4 linked regions of the Arabidopsis thaliana genome follow. The protein of the gene in region 1 interacts with the protein of each later gene in a pairwise test. Each region holds a gene or a part of one and is shown in the gene's direction. Other genes may lie near its edges.

Region 1 (4,921 bases):
TGGGAAGCGGGTTGCACCGAACCAAGCCCATGTAGCTAAACACTCACACGCGCGACGCATGTCTGAAAAGTGGTAATTGAATTTTGTTTAGAATGATTCTACAGAGGTTGAATTTGGTAAATGAATCAGAGGAATATTAAGCATTTGAGCATAATTTCCAATTTGGTCAGATTATGATATATGTAAATATGTCCATGATTCATTTTCTGTTTTTGGGTTCTCTTTGTTCATTTATTAAGTCATGGGCTGAAGTTTTCATATTTTAAGTCATGGGCTGAGTTCTCAAGGACTAAAACTGGTATTGATATTATGATCTGTTAAAAGCCAATTCATTTAAGGTGTTCAAAATCTAAACTGAATAATTGCGTTAAATTAAGCCGGACATGTTTCAATCAAAAGTCAATAGAATGTGTCAAAATACTCTGGGTACTTGGGTAGTATTAGTAACATTAACTTACAAGGATTTTTCTCTATATAAAAATACAGAGTACTAGTTTTGATTTTATCTGAGTGAGAACTTTCTAATAAAACTCTAATCGAAAACAATTAATATTTTGTATAAAATGGAGTGTAGAACCTAAATATTTTGTATTGCTTGGATATATAGTTTTTTTTCTTCTTAACATGGATATATAAGTTCTATTTCGTACATATTTCCCCTAATTTTAATGTTGAATTTTGGAAAACTTTTGTTGGATAGTGACATGAAGACCCTAATTTTAATCATAACATTTTGGAAAACTTGATTGGGTGAGTGATATGGAGGTGATGTTAACGTATGTTTGGTATCAATAGTTGGTCCAATTAGGCCCAAAGAGTCAAAAAAGGTGCCCAAGTGTTGTCAAAAGAGAAAACAATTAAGAATAGGGCAAAGCTTGGCCAGCAAGATTTAGTGGTCATTTCCTAGAAACGTGTCCAAGAATTTATAAAGATGGGTTGTCTTATAAATACATATCGTTCACGTAATTACCTGAGATCAAATCTTAATCATATCATTCATCGTATATAGACTCCAAACACGTTTTTCAAACTCCTATGATCATGTGTTCTCTCTTTGCCTCCGTCTTTGATTGCTTTGTTCCAAAATCAGACTCAAAGATTAGCTCAACTGATGAGAGTGACTTGAAAGTCCTGTCCTCAAAGAAACCAAAAAGCAAATCCCCGAGAGCTCCGATTATGGTGTCTTACTTTCCCGCCGGTTCAAACCTTTCGCGTCTATAAGTGCCAAATAGAAGAGAAGAGAAGATGAAGTATTGGGATGTTGATTTTGATATAAACGAAAGAAGTTTTTGGTTGTAGACATGTTGTATGCGCAGGCTTTAATTTTATGTTTTATTTAATTATGTACAAATAGACCATTTAGATTGATAGCATCATATATATGCTTTGTATTTAAGACCAAATAAAAGATTAATGTTTATATACATGCGTAAAAATGTTAAGAGCTTAGTTAGTATCATTTTCAAAAACTGATTGTCACTTGAGCTTTTATTTTTCTTATTTTTTTAATTAAGAAAAGTTGTGGCCCTCAAAAAGTTACATGGAATCGGAACAGGAAAAAAAAAATGTCGAAAACTGATTAATCTAGGCAACGTTATCGCATTTTCATATCTTACAAATCCCTTTTTCAATTCAGATTTGGTAGAAATGCAAGGAGAGTTCCATAGTGTATATGTAAAATTTGTATAAAACGTCTAGAAGAATTACAATGCTGAATTTGTTGGAAGCTCTGTTTTTCTCTGCTTAGACGTTTCCAACGTGTTTTGGGTTTCTCTGATCACTGTAAAGCCTAAACCACAAGAGAAGAAAAACCACGAAGCTTTGGGCTTTAAGGCCTTTTTGGGCCCTAGCCACAATAATGGAAGCCTATCAAGAAAAGACAAGACAAGACAATAAGACAGAAGAGGACAAGTGTTTAAAGTGGAAGTTATCTTTCTCACGTGGTCTAAAGAAAGGTTAAAAAAAAAGAGGGAAAAAAAAAAGAAGATGAGAGAAAGCAAAGTGTTGAAGACTTTTTAGAAAGCAGAAAAAAAAGCAGAGAGTGTATTCAAAGTCGGAAAGAAACCCTAAAGAAGAGGATTATGGGTGCTGTATCGATGGAGTCGCTTCCTTTAGGTTTCAGATTCAGACCTACCGATGAAGAGCTCGTCAATCACTACCTCCGTCTCAAGATCAACGGACGTCACTCCGATGTCCGTGTCATCCCTGATATCGATGTCTGCAAATGGGAACCTTGGGATCTTCCTGGTTCGTCTCTTTATTCTCTCAAAATTTGATTCCTTTTATTCTCAGATTCTGTTTTCCCTCTCAAAGATTCCACCTTTTTTTTCTTTACTCAATTGGAAACAAATCTGATTGTCGGCAGCTCTCTCGGTGATTAAGACGGATGATCCAGAGTGGTTCTTTTTCTGCCCTCGTGATCGGAAATACCCTAATGGTCATCGCTCTAACAGAGCAACTGACTCTGGCTATTGGAAAGCTACTGGTAAAGATCGTAGCATCAAGTCTAAGAAGACTTTAATCGGTATGAAGAAGACTCTTGTCTTCTATCGTGGACGAGCTCCTAAAGGTGAGCGGACTAATTGGATTATGCACGAGTATCGTCCCACTCTTAAGGATCTTGATGGCACTTCCCCTGGCCAAAGCCCTTACGTTCTTTGTCGCCTCTTCCACAAGCCTGATGATCGGGTTAATGGTGTCAAGTCCGATGAAGCAGCTTTTACGGCCAGCAACAAATACTCACCTGATGATACATCATCTGATCTTGTTCAAGAAACACCTTCCTCTGATGCTGCTGTTGAGAAACCATCAGATTATTCAGGTGGATGCGGTTATGCTCATAGTAATAGTACCGCAGATGGGACAATGATTGAGGTATGAATGGAAACTCTTGAATAATTAATTAGGCTTTTTTGAGTGACTTGACTAATTTTGAGTTTTGTGTTCATAGGCACCTGAAGAGAATCTTTGGTTATCTTGTGACCTTGAAGATCAAAAGGCACCACTACCGTGTATGGATTCTATATATGCTGGTGATTTCAGTTACGATGAGATTGGATTCCAATTTCAAGATGGTACCAGCGAACCAGATGTATCACTAACAGAATTGTTGGAGGAGGTGTTCAATAACCCTGATGACTTCTCTTGCGAGGAATCGATCAGTCGAGAGAATCCAGCAGTCTCACCAAATGGGATATTTTCATCTGCTAAAATGCTGCAGTCTGCAGCACCAGAGGATGCTTTCTTCAACGACTTCATGGCTTTCACTGATACAGATGCTGAGATGGCGCAATTGCAGGTGAGCACAAAGATACATATTTTGAGGCCTATACAATTTTAGAAGTATCCAAATTATTTTGCTTTAAGTAGGCTAGAAACCTCTAGATCAGTTATCTTTACAATCACTCTTGACATAAGTAAAATGACAATTTTTATCTTTTGTTTGATCAGTATGGTTCAGAAGGTGGAGCTTCTGGTTGGCCAAGTGACACTAATTCATACTATAGTGATTTGGTTCAGCAAGAGCAAATGATCAATCATAACACAGAGAACAACCTCACAGAAGGGAGAGGGATAAAGATCCGGGCTCGACAGCCTCAGAACCGGCAGAGTACAGGATTGATAAACCAGGGTATTGCTCCAAGGAGAATCCGTCTGCAGCTGCAGTCTAACTCTGAAGTAAAAGAACGAGAGGAGGTGAATGAAGGACACACTGTTATTCCCGAGGTACGAGACTAGTGATTCCAAAAGTTGTGTCTTAGACATCAATAACATAAAGGATGCATCTTTTTAATTTGTTGTTAATGGTGGGGATGTGCAGGCCAAAGAAGCTGCAGCTAAATACTCAGAGAAGAGTGGTTCTTTGGTTAAACCTCAAATAAAGCTCAGGGCGCGGGGAACTATAGGCCAAGTAAAAGGAGAGAGATTTGCAGACGACGAGGTAAGAATGAGTGAACTTGTTTACACATGAATGAAGAAAGAGTATAGTAGTAAGCTCTACTAAATACTATAGAATTAGAAAGAAAAAAAAGAGAAAGCAATCAGTAGAGCATGTGAGATCAGCTAGTAATGATAAAAGAAACTGAGAAGTATCTTTGTCTAAAGAGAAGTTTGTTGTGGTTACAGGTACAGGTGCAGAGCAGAAAGAGACGAGGAGGGAAGCGATGGAAGGTGGTTGCAACGGTAATGGTGGCTGTGATGGTTGGGGTAGGGATGGGTATATGGAGGACACTGGTGAGTTCATGACACATGAGACACAAAGAGAGAGAGAGAGAGAATCAAATGTAGTTTAATGTAATTAGGGATGATGCAATGTTAGCATGTTTGTGTGTTGTAACTTAAAAACTTATTTAGGAATCTGATAAAAGTTACTGTTGAATTTACACGGATGGTCAAGATTAAATGTACCAACATCTTAATTATCTACGGTCAAGATTAAAAATACCAACATCTTAAATTAACACCGCATCAAAGAATTATCTCAATCGTCGTCTCTCCCCAATTCAAAAAAAGAAATAACCTAAACGTGTTCACACAGAGGTAAGCTCGCTCCTACTCGCCGCCTCATCTGAGTCAACTCCGAGTCAGCTATTTTTCCCCACCGGATTCTCACTTTTGTTCCTCTCTGTGACAGATCTCGAGATGAAAGATAACCAAACGGAAGTTGAATCGAGGAGCACTGATGATAGGTATCTTTATATTTATCCGTAATCTCGATTCTTAGATTCAATTTGTTTCCGTAGTTTTGAAATCGTCTTTTATGATTCTCAGATTGAAAGTTAGAGGGAACAAAGTTGGAAAGAAAACAAAGGATCCAAACAGGCCTAAGAAACCACCAAGTCCTTTCTTCGTCTTCCTGTAAATAAAAATCACTAATCTCTCTTCTTCTTTTTTCTTCACTAATTTGATTACAGTAATTAAT
Region 2 (5,971 bases), on another chromosome or scaffold:
TCCATGAGCCTATAGAAAACAAAAATAGTTGTACCAGCCAATGTGTAGAACCCATAAGGATGTTCCTCATAACCAAACATTTCTCGTAGTTCTTCACCGTAGAACTTGTAAACTAGTAACCCCAAGAATGCTACAATCTGTTGATACGAGAAGCCTTTGTTCATTAGTATATAAATGCATTCACTAAGAGCATCAAATGTATCATCCAATCCGAATTCATACAAGGGATCTCCTGTTTCGGTGTTCAAATGCGATAAGAAACCAATAGTTTGGTCATAAACTGCTATGTGGCAATTATAGCTAAGGATTTGCATTCTCATGATTGAATTCTAGTATATAGTAACATTATAGAAGAAAGTCTATAAACACTAAACTCAATCATGAGAATGCAAATCCTTAGCTATATGACCAATTTTATAGCTAGGAAACAACGAATTTGGTCATAAAATGGGAGATTGGGAGTCAAGAAGCTAGTAACATCATAGAAGAAGAAAGTGTATTAAACACTAAAATCAAAAAAAGGAAACAAGTCATGTACCATCTGGACAGAAATGAAGATGAAGGCATGATCTCTAGCAACCAGCAGCTGAAATCTCAATCTCAACCACCATCTATCAGCAGGCACATTGGCTCGGAGTTTGAAAAAGGCTCTACACTCTGTACAATGCGAAAATGCAAAACCTTCCTGAAACATATATTGCATAGAAACAAAATACACTTCATAAGCTAAGTAAACCATTCATTCAAAAGAAGAAGAAACTTTCTGGAAACGGTGACGATAATATACCTTGGTGGAGCGCCAATTATCGAGACAAGATCTGTGAACGTGCTTTTGAGTACCTTTACAATTGCACGGAGCAATCAGATCTTCCCCTGCAATCAAAGAACAAACCAAGTCGTCTCATTGTATCCTCACTCAATTGAGTTAAGGAATTGCTTTTATTATACCTCCAACATCAAGGCAAATTCGACATTGTGGTTGATCTCCAGAAACAAGAAGTGTGGTTTCGTCATCATCAGTCTCAGCTATTTCTGAAACTTGTCCTTCCTCCACAACACGATCTCCTCTTTCCGCTGCTACGATTTCGTTTGAGGATGTTGATTCGTCGAATAAAATCTGTTCCTTTCTATCATCATCATCATCACTAGGCACTAATTGCATCTCTTAAACATACTAAAATTTCTGGAAATGAAAAAAAACTGAGAAACGCAAAAGAATTCAACACAGCATCAGAAAACTAGATCTAGGTTTCGCCGGGAGTTACCAAAAACATTAGAAAAAATCGATACTTACACGAATTCAACCAATTCTGGAGAATTTTCTTCCAAGGCAAGCCATTGCTTGCGAGTTAGAAGAAATTGGTAAACTATGACTGCGAATCAGAGTGAAGAGAATTTGATTTTGTTAGTCTCGATTCATCACTATGTGTTGAATACAGAGATGACGAAGATCTTTTGAGGGTTGAGAGAGAAGAAGCTAAGAAGATTGGGATCAATCAAAAACGATGGCGAAGAAAAGTCTCAAGGGTAAAATTGGAATTAGAAAAAACATGTGGAGAGCACGTGACACGTGGGATTTATCTGAGTTTCACAGTAGACCTGTGAAGTTCATCGTCTTCATCGTTAACTTCGCAGACTCTGTTGATTAGTCAACACAGATCAGAATCTGAGGCTTTGGCCGAGACGAGAGAAGCAGAAGAAGAAAATGGCGGAGACTGTACATTCTCCGATCGTTACTTACGCATCGATGTTATCGCTTCTCGCCTTCTGTCCACCTTTCGTCATTCTCCTGTAAGCTCATCAATTTCTGATTCGCAAGTCTTTATTCTAGTTCTCAGATCAGACTCGCACACTTTTCTGGCTCCTTAATTCATAGCGAGAAGTGCATAGCCGATATCTTTAAATCCTTTCCCATTAAGTAGGACTTGATAAGAGTCTTTAATTGAAAAAGCGATTCAATGATTCTTTCTCTGGCCAATGTGAGTTTCCAGATTTTTAGGAAACAAGGGTAGATTTAAAGCTACAAAATCATATTTAGTGAGTTTTAAGTAATGCTCACAAGTTTCATTTCTTTATGATGCAGATGGTACACAATGGTTCATCAGGATGGTTCTGTTACTCAGACCTTTGGCTTCTTTTGGGAGAATGGAGTTCAAGGACTTATCAACATATGGCCAAGACCCACTTTGATTGCTTGGAAAATTATATTTTGCTATGGAGCATTTGAAGCTATTCTTCAGCTGCTTCTGCCTGGTAAAAGAGTTGAGGGTCCAATATCTCCAGCCGGAAACCGACCAGTTTACAAGGTATGTTCATTTAGTCTTGTGTGGTGGAAGTTGATGCAGATGACAACTGTACGGTTCTTTTCTTGCAGGCCAATGGTCTGGCTGCTTACTTTGTGACACTAGCAACCTATCTTGGTCTTTGGTGGTAAGAAATGTTTCCGATGACTTTGGTTTGGTTTAAGTTATTGTTTACGTATCTTAAGCTTGGATTAAGTGTTGCACCTATGTGAGTTCATTTCTGTGCGTTATTCAGGTTTGGAATCTTCAACCCTGCAATTGTCTATGATCACTTGGGTGAAATATTTTCGGCACTAATATTCGGAAGCTTCATATTTTGTGTTTTGTTGTACATAAAAGTAAGTGTCTATTGCATGAATGGTGTGTTCTTTGTTTTCTTAGTCTCTATTTTTGTAGAATTTGACCTTTTGTGTTGCTAAAACTTATTTTTTTTTCTTGTACAGGGCCATGTTGCACCTTCATCAAGTGACTCTGGTTCATGTGGTAACCTAATAATTGACTTCTATTGGGTGAGTTATTTCTGCTGATCAGATTCTCATTCTTTTTGAAATTGCTTGTTGGGATTTATTTGAGGAACTCTGGTCTTACTAGCCATCTCCTCATAATATTTTTGCCTCTTTTCTCGACATTTGGAGGTCAAGTTTCACTAAAGTTTCCAATTTTAGTAGACCTGTAAACGGAAATGTTCTTAGCAGTATTTATCTTTTTATTGATTTAAGTACAAGAGAACTAGTTTGGTGTGAATGTCTGTCGGTGAAGGAAAAGAACAAAGTATCCAGTAGTTATTATAACAATATCAAGTTGAGATCTTCTCTCACCATGTACTCTTTTGCTCCAACTTATCATTAACACAATCCAATTTGTGGCAATCTTTTTCTCACTGTGTTTTTCGCGTCGTGCTTTGCAGGGCATGGAGTTGTACCCTCGAATTGGTAAGAGCTTTGACATCAAGGTGTTTACTAATTGCAGATTCGGAATGATGTCTTGGGCAGTTCTTGCAGTCACGTACTGCATAAAACAGGTATTTTCTGGATAATTCTTATGTAAATACTACACTCTGACGACATAGTCTGGTGGTTTCTTTAAGTCCTTATTTCATTAGAGAGCTTCACCTCTTTCTGATTTGTGATTCCTGTACTTTCTTTAACCAGTATGAAATAAATGGCAAAGTATCTGATTCAATGCTGGTGAACACCATCCTGATGCTGGTGTATGTCACAAAATTCTTCTGGTGGGAAGCTGGTTATTGGAACACCATGGACATTGCACATGACCGAGGTATGCTTCTGGTACATATATAAAATTTATATCATCACATCCTCATATAGGGTACAAGGAAAGAAAGCCAGTAGTAATAACAAAAGTTTCTCTACTGTTTGGCTATAATTTCCTTGCCAGTTCTGTTTATATGGCTAAGGCAGCAGCATATTATTCAGATTATTGTTACTGGCTTTAACACATGAACTTAAGCTTACTTTTCAATGCTTTATAATTTATGATTCTTCAGCTGGATTCTATATATGCTGGGGTTGTCTAGTGTGGGTGCCTTCTGTCTACACTTCTCCAGGCATGTACCTTGTGAACCACCCCGTCGAACTCGGAACTCAGGTGCATAATTTTGAATTTGTCTAGAAGAGAGAAATCGTCTTTGTGTGTTAATCCAATGAGAAACTTTTAGGATACCACTTTTTTATACGAAAAAAAACAAGTAAGGTTGAGCTAAATGTGAAAATCCCAATTTCTAGGAATTGCACTTAACTCTTGTTATTGAATTACTTGGTATCTTCCATTACAAAACAGACGGGAGAGAGTAAAGTGTAGATTGTTGATCAAATGCTCGTTGCATATTATGCTCATGATTGTAGTTGCCAGATATCAGTTTTTCTAGTAGTAGAAGAAAGCTGTTCATGAAAACACCACTGATGCTACGATCATCGGGACATATATGCCTATCTCCGTACCTAAGACTTCACTATATCCGTCTTTGGTTGCAGTTGGCAATATACATTCTCGTTGCAGGAATTCTGTGCATTTACATAAACTATGACTGTGATAGACAAAGGCAAGAGTTCAGGAGGACAAACGGGAAATGTTTGGTTTGGGGAAGGGCCCCGTCAAAGGTGTGATCATAATAAGCCCCAACTAGCTTAGTGAACTTAGCTATATTCCTTTTCAGACCTAAACATTTTGATGTGTATGAATCTCTCTTGGTCTCTCGGTTTGTTGCAGATTGTGGCGTCGTATACTACAACATCTGGTGAAACTAAAACTAGTCTTCTCTTAACGTCTGGATGGTGAGACTATTCTACATTATACAGTTACAACCATAAAAGTAGACGTTGTTCATCATCAATGGCTTTGAATGTGCAGGTGGGGATTGGCTCGTCATTTCCATTATGTTCCTGAGATCTTAAGTGCTTTCTTCTGGACCGTACCGGCTCTCTTCGATAACGTAAAATACTATCCATCTATTTGCTATATTCGAAGCTCTTCTTGCAAGTTAAACGCACTTAACATATAAATCATCTTTGTTTAAACCAGTTCTTGGCATACTTCTACGTCATATTTCTCACCCTTCTTCTCTTTGATCGAGCCAAGAGAGACGATGACCGATGCCGATCAAAGTAAGCACCAAATCTAAATGATTTATTTTACACATCCTCTTTGATCTTACTCTGATTTGCTGACAATATTCGGGTTTTGTTTTGGTAAAAAGGTATGGGAAATATTGGAAGCTGTATTGTGAGAAAGTCAAATACAGGATCATTCCGGGAATTTATTGATTGTAACGAAGTCTGTTGTTCTCATTTTCTACTTATTACGTTAATTCGAACGTTGGAATCATCAAAAGACCGTGCCAAAACAAAAATGCAAATTGATGCGATAGACATTCTTTTGCTGATTTGTATGCTATAGGTTTTCAAATCTCTAGCTACACTTATGTATTTCCCTAGATTATCAAAGTTAGCCTGCCGTTTTCTAATTTTATTATTTGATATTTTGATTATACTGCTTCTTAATGCATCAAATAAGTTGATTCATCCATCTAATATTTTAACTACATCAAATGAAGTCTTTTATAAGTACAGGCACTAATTGAACTTGAACCCTATAAAATACATGAATAATCACAAAGAATTGATAGTGTTCTTTCAGTTTTTCAATCACAAAGAACTCACCGACATTATCAAGTTGACTTCACTTTTAGACTTAATTGGTGTTCTGGAGGATCCACAAAACTACTATTACACAGTTTTCACAAAATTGTGATTCTTTATTTTTTATTTTCTTTGGTCAAACTAACATTTCATTCAACTTTAAACGAGAGTTGCCTCCACGTGGAGAGTATACACAAAAAGCTACGAGGACAAATGCTCAAACAAAAAGACATAAGAAGGGGAGCTCAGAAGCTCAACCCGAGTAGCAGCATCCAAAGTTGCTAAAACAGAACCATCATTTACTTCTGAGGCGGTCTTCGTACCAAGCTCCTTCAGCAAAATTGTGATTCTATGTTTGGATATCATGAGATCTAACTACAAAGTTTTTAATAACAAAAACTTACCATTCTCTAATTTGTAGTCAAAGCTAAACAAATTTCATACTAAAACAATTTTACTGTGTTGTTATGGATGCATATTTTTCTCACTTTATAGTACTATTTTACTATT
Region 3 (3,965 bases), on another chromosome or scaffold:
GTTAGTTGGTCGGAATCCTGAGTATAGTAAAGGCCTCCGTTGTCAAAAAGCGGGAGATCCTCTACTAAATATGTAGCATTACTGTATGCATCATCAGAAACATTGTAAGTTAAATCCATTTGTATACTTTAGTAAAGAAATATCGCTCAGTACAGTGCCCCAGTAAGAAATCCAGTAAACAAGCTAAAATATAGCAGTAAGTGGCAATTTTTGTTTACACAGCTACGGTTCTAACCACCTCTCTCTCTCTCAAGTCCTTGAGTACTTTTGTAGAATCAGTTGTGCTTTGTATAAAAGTCACTGAAACTTAACCAGAAGCTGAACTTGTGAACACCTTTCGAGATTTAGAAGGTGACTCTAATTTCTTCCCCAACCAAAGCTAATATCTCATCCACCCTGTAACAAATACGCAACACCAGGTTAATCAGAATACACTTTGTTCCCAGAATTCGGGAATGACGATGGTGAAAATATTTTACCTATGAGTGTCGATGTTTACTTCTGCAAGCCAAGTTGTCAAGTAAATCTGTGGAACGAGAAGAATTGAAGTTTTACGATATAATGCTAACAGACAATTTTACTTGTGCGGAATCAAAATCCACATACCTGCAAAATTTCTGCGGTTGGCTGGTTGGTATGTGATATAGAAGAACTACCGATATTATAATCTTTCACTCTGGGGAGAACTGGCTTAGCTACTTCCATAGAATATAAAGAACATTTGGTGAGATGATCAAATTCTCCATGGTAAAGCTCATCTGACCAACTGTTGTTGATGGGTTGAGGAACTTCAGTGCTTAAAGAGATCAGTTCCATTATGAGCAATCTCTGTTAATTTCCCCGAAAAAAAAGATCAGAAGCTGATCTAGAGTTTAAGATACATGCAGGAGTTAGGAGTAGACAATACCTTTAGCATTACTTCGCGTTTGAACATCTCCACAAGCTCCTCAGCCATCTTCTCTGGGATCATTTCAACATGGCAAGTACCAAACTTTAGAGACAACATGGTAAGTAGTTAATAACTATTGAACATTGGTTTTATGGGTCTCTTACCAAATGCAGAGACATTCCAAAAATTAAACACAGGAATGCCACCGCAATCTCCAGCATCATTTGAATCTTCCTTAGTGCCAGAGAACTGTATAAGTGACCCGGTACTCAGCTTCGTGTAACATCTCAGAGATCTGCTTGCATTTACCATCTCAACAACAACAGCTACCTGCATTTTTCTACAGTTTTGTTTATAGATTCCAAATTACACCAGAATAAAATTTCTCAAATTCACAAGATTTTAGCATTGTCACACTTACCATTTCCTTGTACGAAGATAAAAGCTTGATTCGATAGGAACTCTGAACATAATAAGACTTAATATGAGAATTAAAAACAGAGAGAATGAATAGAAGACAAAAAATAGATTTGAAATGCAAATTTTCACCTGTTGCGTAAACAGCTTCTTCAAAGCTTTCTTGTCGATATCAAACATGTCACTCAACACACCAAGCTCCATCATTGGCATATACCTATTGCCATGGAAACACAAAAGCAGTAAGAATCACCAGGGACATCAAAGTGAAACAGAGTAAGTTGCAAATACAAATTAAGAAAATTCCACACTTTTGTGACAGATACGAATTGACTAGCAAAGTAGCGTGAGATCTTCCCGCAGAACAAGCGACGATCCACTGTTGCCGACAATTCGACAGGTTAGACCACTGGTTCCTAAGATTCCGCTGAGCAGCTGGTCTCCATAGCCTCATCGATGACGAAAAACTCCCCGGAGATGGAGATGAAGAAGCCAGCGATCGCGAAGAAGACGCCGGAGATGGAGAAGCAGGCGGCGGAAACTGCGAGATGCTCATCGAATACAAAACGAGTTTTTTGAGCTTGAGTCACACTCCTAAACTCTGTTACGTCGCCGGGAATTGAACGGCCGGCGATAGTTTGTTTTCTATTTCCACCCAGCTTAGGGCTTTATGAAGAAATACGAAAAGGTTACAATTGTAATTTTCATAAACTTCTGAACTTGTTTAAATTAATTTTAATTGTAATTAGCAATTATGTCTATATAATAGATCAATAGAATCTCTAAGAAGAATTACAGTAGATCAGATATATATTTACCAATCGGAGCTTCAGAGAGATCCAAAGAGAGAGATTGAGGATGTCTCACAGTCACGGGAACGCTTCGTCGGTGAACGATCCACGGCAGCCTTCGGCGGCAAAGCCTTACATTCCACGGCCTGTAGCGCCGGAGGATCTTCCCGTTGACTACTCCGGATTCATCGCCGTTATCCTCGGCGTCTCCGGCGTTATGTTCAGGGTAAATTTTCATTTCTCCTCTTCTGATCGTTGCTCTGTTAGAAATCAATTCAGTCGTAGAAACTAGTACTCCGGTTGGTGACTTAGATCGTCGGATTTTATAAGTTGAACTCACCGATTTAGCAACATCAATCTCTAGCTAGTTCGTGATGTTTTGAGACTGGATCTTTCCAATACTCGCTAGTGATTTTGAATGTTGAATTGATTTAAAGCTTACTTCCCCAAATAGGCAGATTCATGACTGTGTGATTGCATCATATTATAAGACTAGAGAAAATGTTAGATCTTGTTGAAATTTGAGCTCGAGAGATTGAGATAGTCAGTGTGAAAGTGGATTAAAAGATCATCATATGTGGAGTGAGAAATTCATCCTCTTTATTTATGTGGCTTGTGTATCTCTCAGTACAAGATATGCTCGTGGCTTGCAATTATATTCTGTGCACAATCTCTGGCCAACATGAGGAACTTGGAAAATGATTTAAAGCAGATCTCCATGGCTATGATGTATGTTCCTTTTCACTCATTCTTTCTTCTTATTTTTAAGTTAAGAGTGCCAAAAGCATTGAATAGTGAAATGAACCTCTCTATTCCTGTTAAAATCCAACATGGATCAGATTTAAGCTGATTGTTTCTACTCAATAAATTGTTGACTCTGAATCTGGTTTTCTTGTATTAAAAACAGGTTTGCTATAATGGGATTGGTTACAAACTACTTAGGGCCTAACAGACCCGCGACAAAGAAATAATCCTCATGTCTTAAGAGTAGTATGCTTTTTTTTGATAAACCTTGTATGGCTCTTGTTTCCGCACCAGAGATTGCTAGTGGTTTGTCTTTGTGTTTTCGACTCTCTAATCCTTGAGTAGCAAACTAGAACCTTGAGCTCTTGCTCATTTGTGGAGTTCAAAGACTTTTCAGTCCAGATGCAAAAAATGTGAAATCCGACTTTTTCTCTTTTGATCTCCCTGATTTTTGGACCCTGCTTCTTACAACACTGTTACGCGGACTAACATCAAAAACACTCCTCAAACCAAACAAACTCCTCAATCATTGTCACTAGTTCGAATGTCTCTAGTTTCTTGTTTCAATCTTTTATATGAAACTAATCAAGAACAAGAGATTTCATGTTGGCTTATGTTTTTAACTTCCTTATCAAATATTTAAATCTTCTTTGCGGAATAATACATATGGAATAATGATGTCGACTTGGCTTCCGGAGGTAAAATATTGACACTCATTAAATTAGAGACCTTGTAATACTCTGAAGCAAAGGAAGTTAAGTTTCAATGACTGATTCTAAACAGCACTCAACGACTTGATAGAGAGAGTTCTTCAGAATCTTCGCTGAGTAAAAACAAAATTAGATTCACTGGAGTTGTTACCTTGTGGAATTTCTGTTATGGGGCAAATTCTTTACTAAGTATACAAATGGATTTGACATCCAATATTCGTGATTAAGCATACAGTAATGCTACATGTCTACTACGAAATCTCCGGCCTTCTGACGATGGAGGCCTTCACTGTTCTCAGAAGTCCGACCAACTAACTCTTACCCACCCATAAACACAAACATTTTCGGGAGGATTGGCCAAAAAGTTAATTATATGGATCTATCAATAGTTAGAAAGAGAGACATTGTACCCTA
Region 4 (5,729 bases), about 17 Mb from region 1:
TACACAAAAGGGGCATCTGAGCCGTCCATTCACCTTCACCTTGTAGTAAGTCTCACTGCGTAAAAGGTGGTAGGGTGTTTTAGAATACTCCTCAATCTCTGACTCGCTGATCTCAGACTCTTCATCAGAAATGTCCATCGTACCTGCTTTACCTGGAGAAAAAGAATGTTACAAAAACAGAGAAGAAGAACAAAATAAGGCCCAAAAGAGACTCAATTTCTAGGCAATCCCACGAGCAAGAGAAACCCTAGGCAACAACTTAACAAACAAAACAAAATTGACACTGGATAAAGCAAAAGAGACGAAAGTGATACAGCATTTACAAAATTGAGCTAAGAGAGTGACGCATGCATGATAAGGAACCTAGCGAAATCAAAAATATATTTTTAAGTAACAAGTGAGTAAAGGCGTTAAATCACGAAATGCATAGGGGAATCGAAAAAATTCATTAAACGAGAGATTTCACTGTGAAAACAGAGAATAGAAGAAATCTGGAGCTTACGCTAGAGAGGGAAGGAAAAGGAACAACACGGCGATGACTCAACGCTTGATGAAGAGTGGAGTAGAGAGAGAGTGAGTGAGGAAGATGAAGAGTTATTTTATTTTGGAAAATATATCAGAAAAATTAGAGGGTGATTTGCAAGAATAACACATTTTTATACAAGAATTAAGAATATAGCACTATTAATTAACAAAGTAATTTAAAAATAGATAAAAGAGAAATTTTCACAAATAGCATAATTTTAAGTTTTTTTGACAAAACCTATTTTATACTATAGTTTTTTGACAAAATTTTAAGTTTTTTTTTGGACAAAATTGATGAATAAAACCTATGATCCAAATTGTGAATGATTTATACTATAAGCAATATAGTGGCCACAAAATTGGTCAAGAATTTTTAGTGGCTTTATCAAATAGCCACTGACTGGAGATTTTTTTTTAAAAAATATGTGTCTGGTCAAAGTATGTAATTATATATCTATGTGTAAAATTGTATCATAAAACATTAAGGTTTCCAGGATTATTTTTCTTCTCAAAATTTAATATAGTGACTTTGTTTTACTCTAAGAGCTTATAGTCACCAAAGTTGTTATATATATTAATATATGTCTCATTTTTTTTTTTTATAAAAAGAATCAATTATGAGAAAGCCACTTTTGAAAGTGACATTTGTTGATTTTGCAATTTTCCATATAGTTTGTGAATTTGCCATTTTTAGTTAATAATAGATACCAGTTAATACGTGGATATAGTCGGTTAGATTTGTTTTTAAAATTTAGTATTTGGTTTAAAGTACATATTTTGCAAAAACATTTTATATATACATACAGTTTTAAGTGTTCAAAATGACAAATCCTCAAGATTTTAGTAAAAACTAATGACATTGTTGTACAATTTTAGTGCTTAATTTTAGTATTTTAGTTATTTTATGGGCTGCACTTTAGCAATAAATGTCTCTTTGTTTTCACTTTTCAGCAGTTGGAACTTTGAACAAATGGAAACAAAAAAATGTAGAAGACAATTTTATTTTTAAGCCCATCAAAAATACAAATGAGATTGTAAGCCCAATATATTAACCAACCTACCTTTTTCTTTTGTCAGCTCTCTCTATTTCTCTAAAGGTGACGTCATCTTCGGCGGTAACGGCTCAGATATTTTCCACAATAACTTCCAATAATACCCCTGCCATTAACCAATAGTACCCATGTTTCCTCTTTGCAACGTGGGGGTAGATTCATGAAATGAGAACAGAACGGAGGTTCCAACGAGTAGAAGATGATGTGCCACGTGTCACTATATCGACCCCCCTTTCCTCTTCCTTCCTTCCCCAATAGAGAGGGATTTTCCCGCTTCAGCGTCTCTCAGTCTCTCTCTCGGCTTTATCCAAAGGTTCCTTCGTTTACTCCGCTTCTATGGAAGAAGCTTGAATCCTTCTCTCTTCTTCTTCTCCTTCTTCCCTTGACATTTTTGTTCTGAGAAGCAACATGGCCCTCGGTGGCTTGATTTCAAATCGGAACTTCGGTTCCTTCATCGGCTCAGGTATATCTATCCCCCTCCTCTTTTTGAATCTGTTAGGGCTTTTTAGTTGTTTATCGGATTATGTTAGTGATTAGGCTTGAGCGTAGCTTGCTTCTGTGTAGCGAACGATATCACTAATGTGTGCATTGCTTCCAAATTTGCTAAGATTGCTTTACTTTGTAGGCAATGGTTGTCAGAGACTTGGAAAAAGTGGTGCAGAGGTTTCCAAGCTTTTTCCAAATGGTATATATCGGTATCTTTTATACCTCTCTACCTAGCTATATTATGCAATTTGTGCTTAAGCATTTTCTTAATCTTTGTAGCATTGTTGTGCCGTAATCATCAACCTCTGCAAGCTAGTTTACATCATGAATCGGGACACATGAGAAGAAGTTTTGGATGTTTCCTTCAACCAAGAATGGACAGTGTAATTAGGTTTAGGAACAGTATCAAGATCAACAGATCTCGTGCTTACTACAAATCAGAGGAGTCAGATATCACGGAAGGAGTTGTGCCATCGGCTGATGGCTCAGCTGAAGCTATTTTAGTTGAAGGAAATCTACAGAACGCATCTCCATGGTGGCAGCAGTTTCCTAGACGCTGGGTGATCGTCTTGTTATGCTTTTCGTCTTTTCTTCTTTGCAATATGGACCGTGTAAGTTGTATATCTTGCTTATTTTCTCTACTTATCTGAAGAAGTAAGATATATATTACTTAATGAGAGATGCTTGTGGCAGGTGAACATGAGCATTGCAATTCTTCCCATGTCACAAGAATATAACTGGAGTAGTGCAACTGTTGGCTTAATTCAGTCCTCTTTCTTCTGGGGCTATTTACTTACTCAGGTCAGGTCTAATACTATCACTCTCTGTAGAATCTGATCTTTTATAGAACTCGAAAGAGAGGGTATATTTATTCTAACTTTAGCTCATCTTCTCTTGGACATAGATTCTGGGAGGTATATGGGCAGATAAGTTTGGCGGGAAGGTTGTTTTAGGTTTTGGTGTTGTCTGGTGGTCCTTTGCCACTATTATGACACCTATTGCTGCTAGACTTGGTCTTCCTTTTTTGCTTGTAGTGCGGGCGTTCATGGGCATTGGCGAGGTTGGCCTCTTCTGTTCTTCTTTTCTCTTGCTATACTTGTCTCAGACCTGTACAACTTCTCACTAGCTGGTTCTGTCTACCTTTGCTTCAGGGTGTTGCAATGCCTGCTATGAACAACATGCTTTCTAAATGGATCCCTGTCTCAGAGAGAAGCAGATCGCTTGCACTGGTCTATAGTGGCATGTATCTTGGTTCCGTCACAGGATTGGCATTCTCTCCTATGCTAATCACCAAGTTCGGATGGCCATCTGTTTTCTACTCGTTTGGCTCCCTCGGAAGTATATGGTTTTTGCTATGGCTAAAATTTGTATGAACTCCTCTTCATGACATAAGCTAAATATCTGAGATCTACAAAACCTCCAAGAGATTTATATTTTAAACACCTTTTTAATTCTTCTCAGGCATATAGCTCTCCCAAGGATGACCCGGACCTAAGTGAAGAAGAAAAAAAGGTTATACTGGGAGGTAGCAAACCAAGGGAACCTGTTACAGTGATTCCATGGAAGCTAATACTGTCTAAACCCCCAGTCTGGGCTCTCATAATTTCCCACTTCTGCCATAATTGGGGAACTTTCATACTATTGACATGGATGCCCACATATTACAATCAGGCACGGAGTTCAGCTTCAGTTATATCCTTACTGTTTAATATTTTTTGTGAACAAGTAAAGAGACTCCTCTCTATTGTTGGTCTTTGATCACGCTGCAGGTCTTGAAGTTCAACCTCACTGAATCCGGGCTACTATGCGTTTTGCCATGGCTAACCATGGCTGTTTTTGCTAATATTGGAGGTTGGATTGCTGATACTCTTGTGAGCAGAGGTCTTTCAATTACAAACGTTCGAAAGGCAAGAAATACACTCTTTCACTTTCTGATCATTTACATGTCTCTACTACCTCAAAAGGCCAAACTTGTTATGCTGCTTTCAGTTAAAGGAGTGACAACAAACCCTTTATACCAATAAACTACTCTCATGAATCTATTATGGCTACTCCAAAGGATACTCACGACTAATAAACTCTTGATTATTGCAGATTATGCAATCAATTGGTTTTCTAGGCCCTGCCTTCTTCCTGAGTCAGCTGAGCCATGTCAAAACTCCAGCAATGGCAGTTCTCTGCATGGCATGCAGTCAGGTATTGGTGTCAATAGATCATATGATTGAAAGAGCCATAGAATTATGGATAAGTTTGGAACTGTTAAAAACATGTTTGCCGTTTTTTATTTCACACCTGCCGACACAAGATTATTCTTGTGAGAGTACAACTATAATTGAACCCCAACTTAAATGCAATGTCGGCTACAAAAAGAAACAGTTGTCACCCTTAGAAAAATTCATGAGTTGTGTACAGCTCTGACATAAAGACTCATGTTGTCCCCAACAGGGCTCTGATGCATTCTCTCAGTCGGGTCTCTACTCTAATCATCAAGACATTGGCCCACGATACGCTGTGAGATAAACATCAATTCTTTCTCTTTTATTACTTTGTCACCAAACTTGTTCCACTTCATTAACTATGGCTTGGCTCGCAGGGTGTACTCTTAGGACTATCAAACACAGCAGGAGTCCTAGCTGGTGTCTTTGGCACTGCAGCTACTGGTTACATCCTCCAACGAGGTATCTTCTATCTTTATTCACATTCTTGCCAACCATAAGGTGGACAAATTATAGTACTTCCGACTATTATTAACCATGTTGTTTGGTTTTTACCTAAACATTTAGGTTCATGGGATGATGTGTTCAAAGTAGCAGTTGCACTGTATCTAATTGGAACTCTGGTCTGGAACTTGTTCGCAACCGGAGAAAAAATTCTCGACTAGAACCAAGAAACTAATAGCTGCAGTGAAATTGTGTGAGGAAGCTTTATATTTGTTCTTTCTCTGCTTATAAATTTGATCTGATAGTGAGATCAAAATGGTTCGCTGGTCTGTTTCATAAAGTAACATGTTAAAGAAAAGATGTATTTTTTTGGAACTTGACTCTTTTGAAGCTTACAATTTGATGGGGATGGAGAAAAAGAAACCAAAACAAAAACAATCAAACTTTTTTACTTTAGGAAGAAGAGTATTTGCTTACAAAGTTTACATAGCACAACGAAATCATTTTTTTTACTGTTTTACACAACAATCACAAAACCCAAAGGTAAATGTATGTATTAATTACTATAAAAATGTTATCAACCCGAGAAGCTGCATTACACGGCAACCGCCACAGCCGCATTAACGGCGACGCCTTCACCGATACCGCCGTTGCATTTTCCGTTAAGAACAACGACGTCGTTTCTCTCTTTGGGTACGAGACTCTTCATCATCACTTCCAAATCCCTCTTGTGCACGTTGACCAAAAGTCCGTTCTTCATGAACAAAGTCAACGACATCTTCTGCTCCACCTTGTGTCCCGGCGCCACCGTTAGTCTATGCCTGAGTAAAACCGCCGCCGCGATCGTCTTCATCTGCAGATACGCTAGATCTTTTCCTAGACAGATCCTAGGTCCGGCGTTAAACGCCACGAATCGGTACTGATCGTGATTCACGAATTTTCCATCGTCCGGCGAGATCCACCTCTCCGGTTTGAATTCCAAGCAATCCTCTCCCCACGTGCTCTT

The links.
Region 2: the proteins of NTL9 (region 1) and DWF5 interact in a two-hybrid assay, tested with the Arabidopsis thaliana proteins (one large-scale study listed by BioGRID).
Region 3: the proteins of NTL9 (region 1) and AT5G07960 interact in a two-hybrid assay, tested with the Arabidopsis thaliana proteins (one large-scale study listed by BioGRID).
Region 4: the proteins of NTL9 (region 1) and ANTR2 interact in a two-hybrid assay, tested with the Arabidopsis thaliana proteins (one large-scale study listed by BioGRID).

The regions. Positions count from the first base shown.
Region 1 is NC_003075.7:16,887,905-16,892,825, reverse strand, and holds NTL9 (NAC transcription factor-like 9), read left to right. Parts: upstream 1-2,024; 5' UTR 2,025-2,081; coding exon 2,082-2,247; intron 2,248-2,365; coding exon 2,366-2,874; intron 2,875-2,950; coding exon 2,951-3,298; intron 3,299-3,450; coding exon 3,451-3,726; intron 3,727-3,820; coding exon 3,821-3,940; intron 3,941-4,106; coding exon 4,107-4,292; 3' UTR 4,293-4,421; downstream 4,422-4,921. Other genes in the region: HMGB5 (high mobility group B5), read left to right, coding at 4,642-4,688, 4,771-4,857. UniProt on the Arabidopsis thaliana protein: Transcriptional activator activated by proteolytic cleavage through regulated intramembrane proteolysis (RIP). Calmodulin-regulated transcriptional repressor. Binds several synthetic promoters with randomly selected binding sites.
Region 2 is NC_003070.9:18,681,290-18,687,260, reverse strand, and holds DWF5 (Ergosterol biosynthesis ERG4/ERG24 family), read left to right. Parts: upstream 1-1,608; 5' UTR 1,609-1,705; coding exon 1,706-1,791; intron 1,792-2,083; coding exon 2,084-2,306; intron 2,307-2,374; coding exon 2,375-2,430; intron 2,431-2,538; coding exon 2,539-2,641; intron 2,642-2,746; coding exon 2,747-2,812; intron 2,813-3,210; coding exon 3,211-3,324; intron 3,325-3,454; coding exon 3,455-3,581; intron 3,582-3,810; coding exon 3,811-3,911; intron 3,912-4,297; coding exon 4,298-4,423; intron 4,424-4,532; coding exon 4,533-4,597; intron 4,598-4,673; coding exon 4,674-4,755; intron 4,756-4,844; coding exon 4,845-4,927; intron 4,928-5,019; coding exon 5,020-5,086; 3' UTR 5,087-5,329; downstream 5,330-5,971. Other genes in the region: AT1G50440 (RING/FYVE/PHD zinc finger superfamily protein), read right to left, coding at 35-137, 539-685, 788-873, 949-1,162. UniProt on the Arabidopsis thaliana protein: Production of cholesterol by reduction of C7-C8 double bond of 7-dehydrocholesterol (7-DHC). Lesions in the gene coding for the enzyme cause dwarfism.
Region 3 is NC_003076.8:2,540,186-2,544,150, forward strand, and holds AT5G07960 (asterix-like protein), read left to right. Parts: upstream 1-2,060; 5' UTR 2,061-2,164; coding exon 2,165-2,323; intron 2,324-2,725; coding exon 2,726-2,826; intron 2,827-3,004; coding exon 3,005-3,068; 3' UTR 3,069-3,461; downstream 3,462-3,965. Other genes in the region: AT5G07950 (uncharacterized protein), read right to left, coding at 345-396, 480-526, 607-828, 908-960, 1,054-1,219, 1,311-1,352, 1,439-1,523, 1,618-1,862; AT5G07970 (dentin sialophosphoprotein-like protein), read right to left, coding at 3,941-3,965.
Region 4 is NC_003075.7:162,368-168,096, reverse strand, and holds ANTR2 (Major facilitator superfamily protein), read left to right. Parts: upstream 1-1,739; 5' UTR 1,740-1,985; coding exon 1,986-2,040; intron 2,041-2,202; coding exon 2,203-2,262; intron 2,263-2,342; coding exon 2,343-2,674; intron 2,675-2,756; coding exon 2,757-2,864; intron 2,865-2,967; coding exon 2,968-3,123; intron 3,124-3,214; coding exon 3,215-3,430; intron 3,431-3,524; coding exon 3,525-3,734; intron 3,735-3,832; coding exon 3,833-3,970; intron 3,971-4,157; coding exon 4,158-4,259; exon of another isoform or gene 4,260-4,508; coding exon 4,509-4,574; intron 4,575-4,656; coding exon 4,657-4,741; intron 4,742-4,846; coding exon 4,847-4,944; 3' UTR 4,945-5,200; downstream 5,201-5,729. Other genes in the region: FDM2 (XH/XS domain-containing protein), read right to left, coding at 1-138; CYP86A2 (cytochrome P450, family 86, subfamily A, polypeptide 2), read right to left, coding at 5,319-5,729. UniProt on the Arabidopsis thaliana protein: Inorganic phosphate and probable anion transporter. Ascorbate transporter bridging the chloroplast envelope. Transports ascorbate from the cytosol into the chloroplast.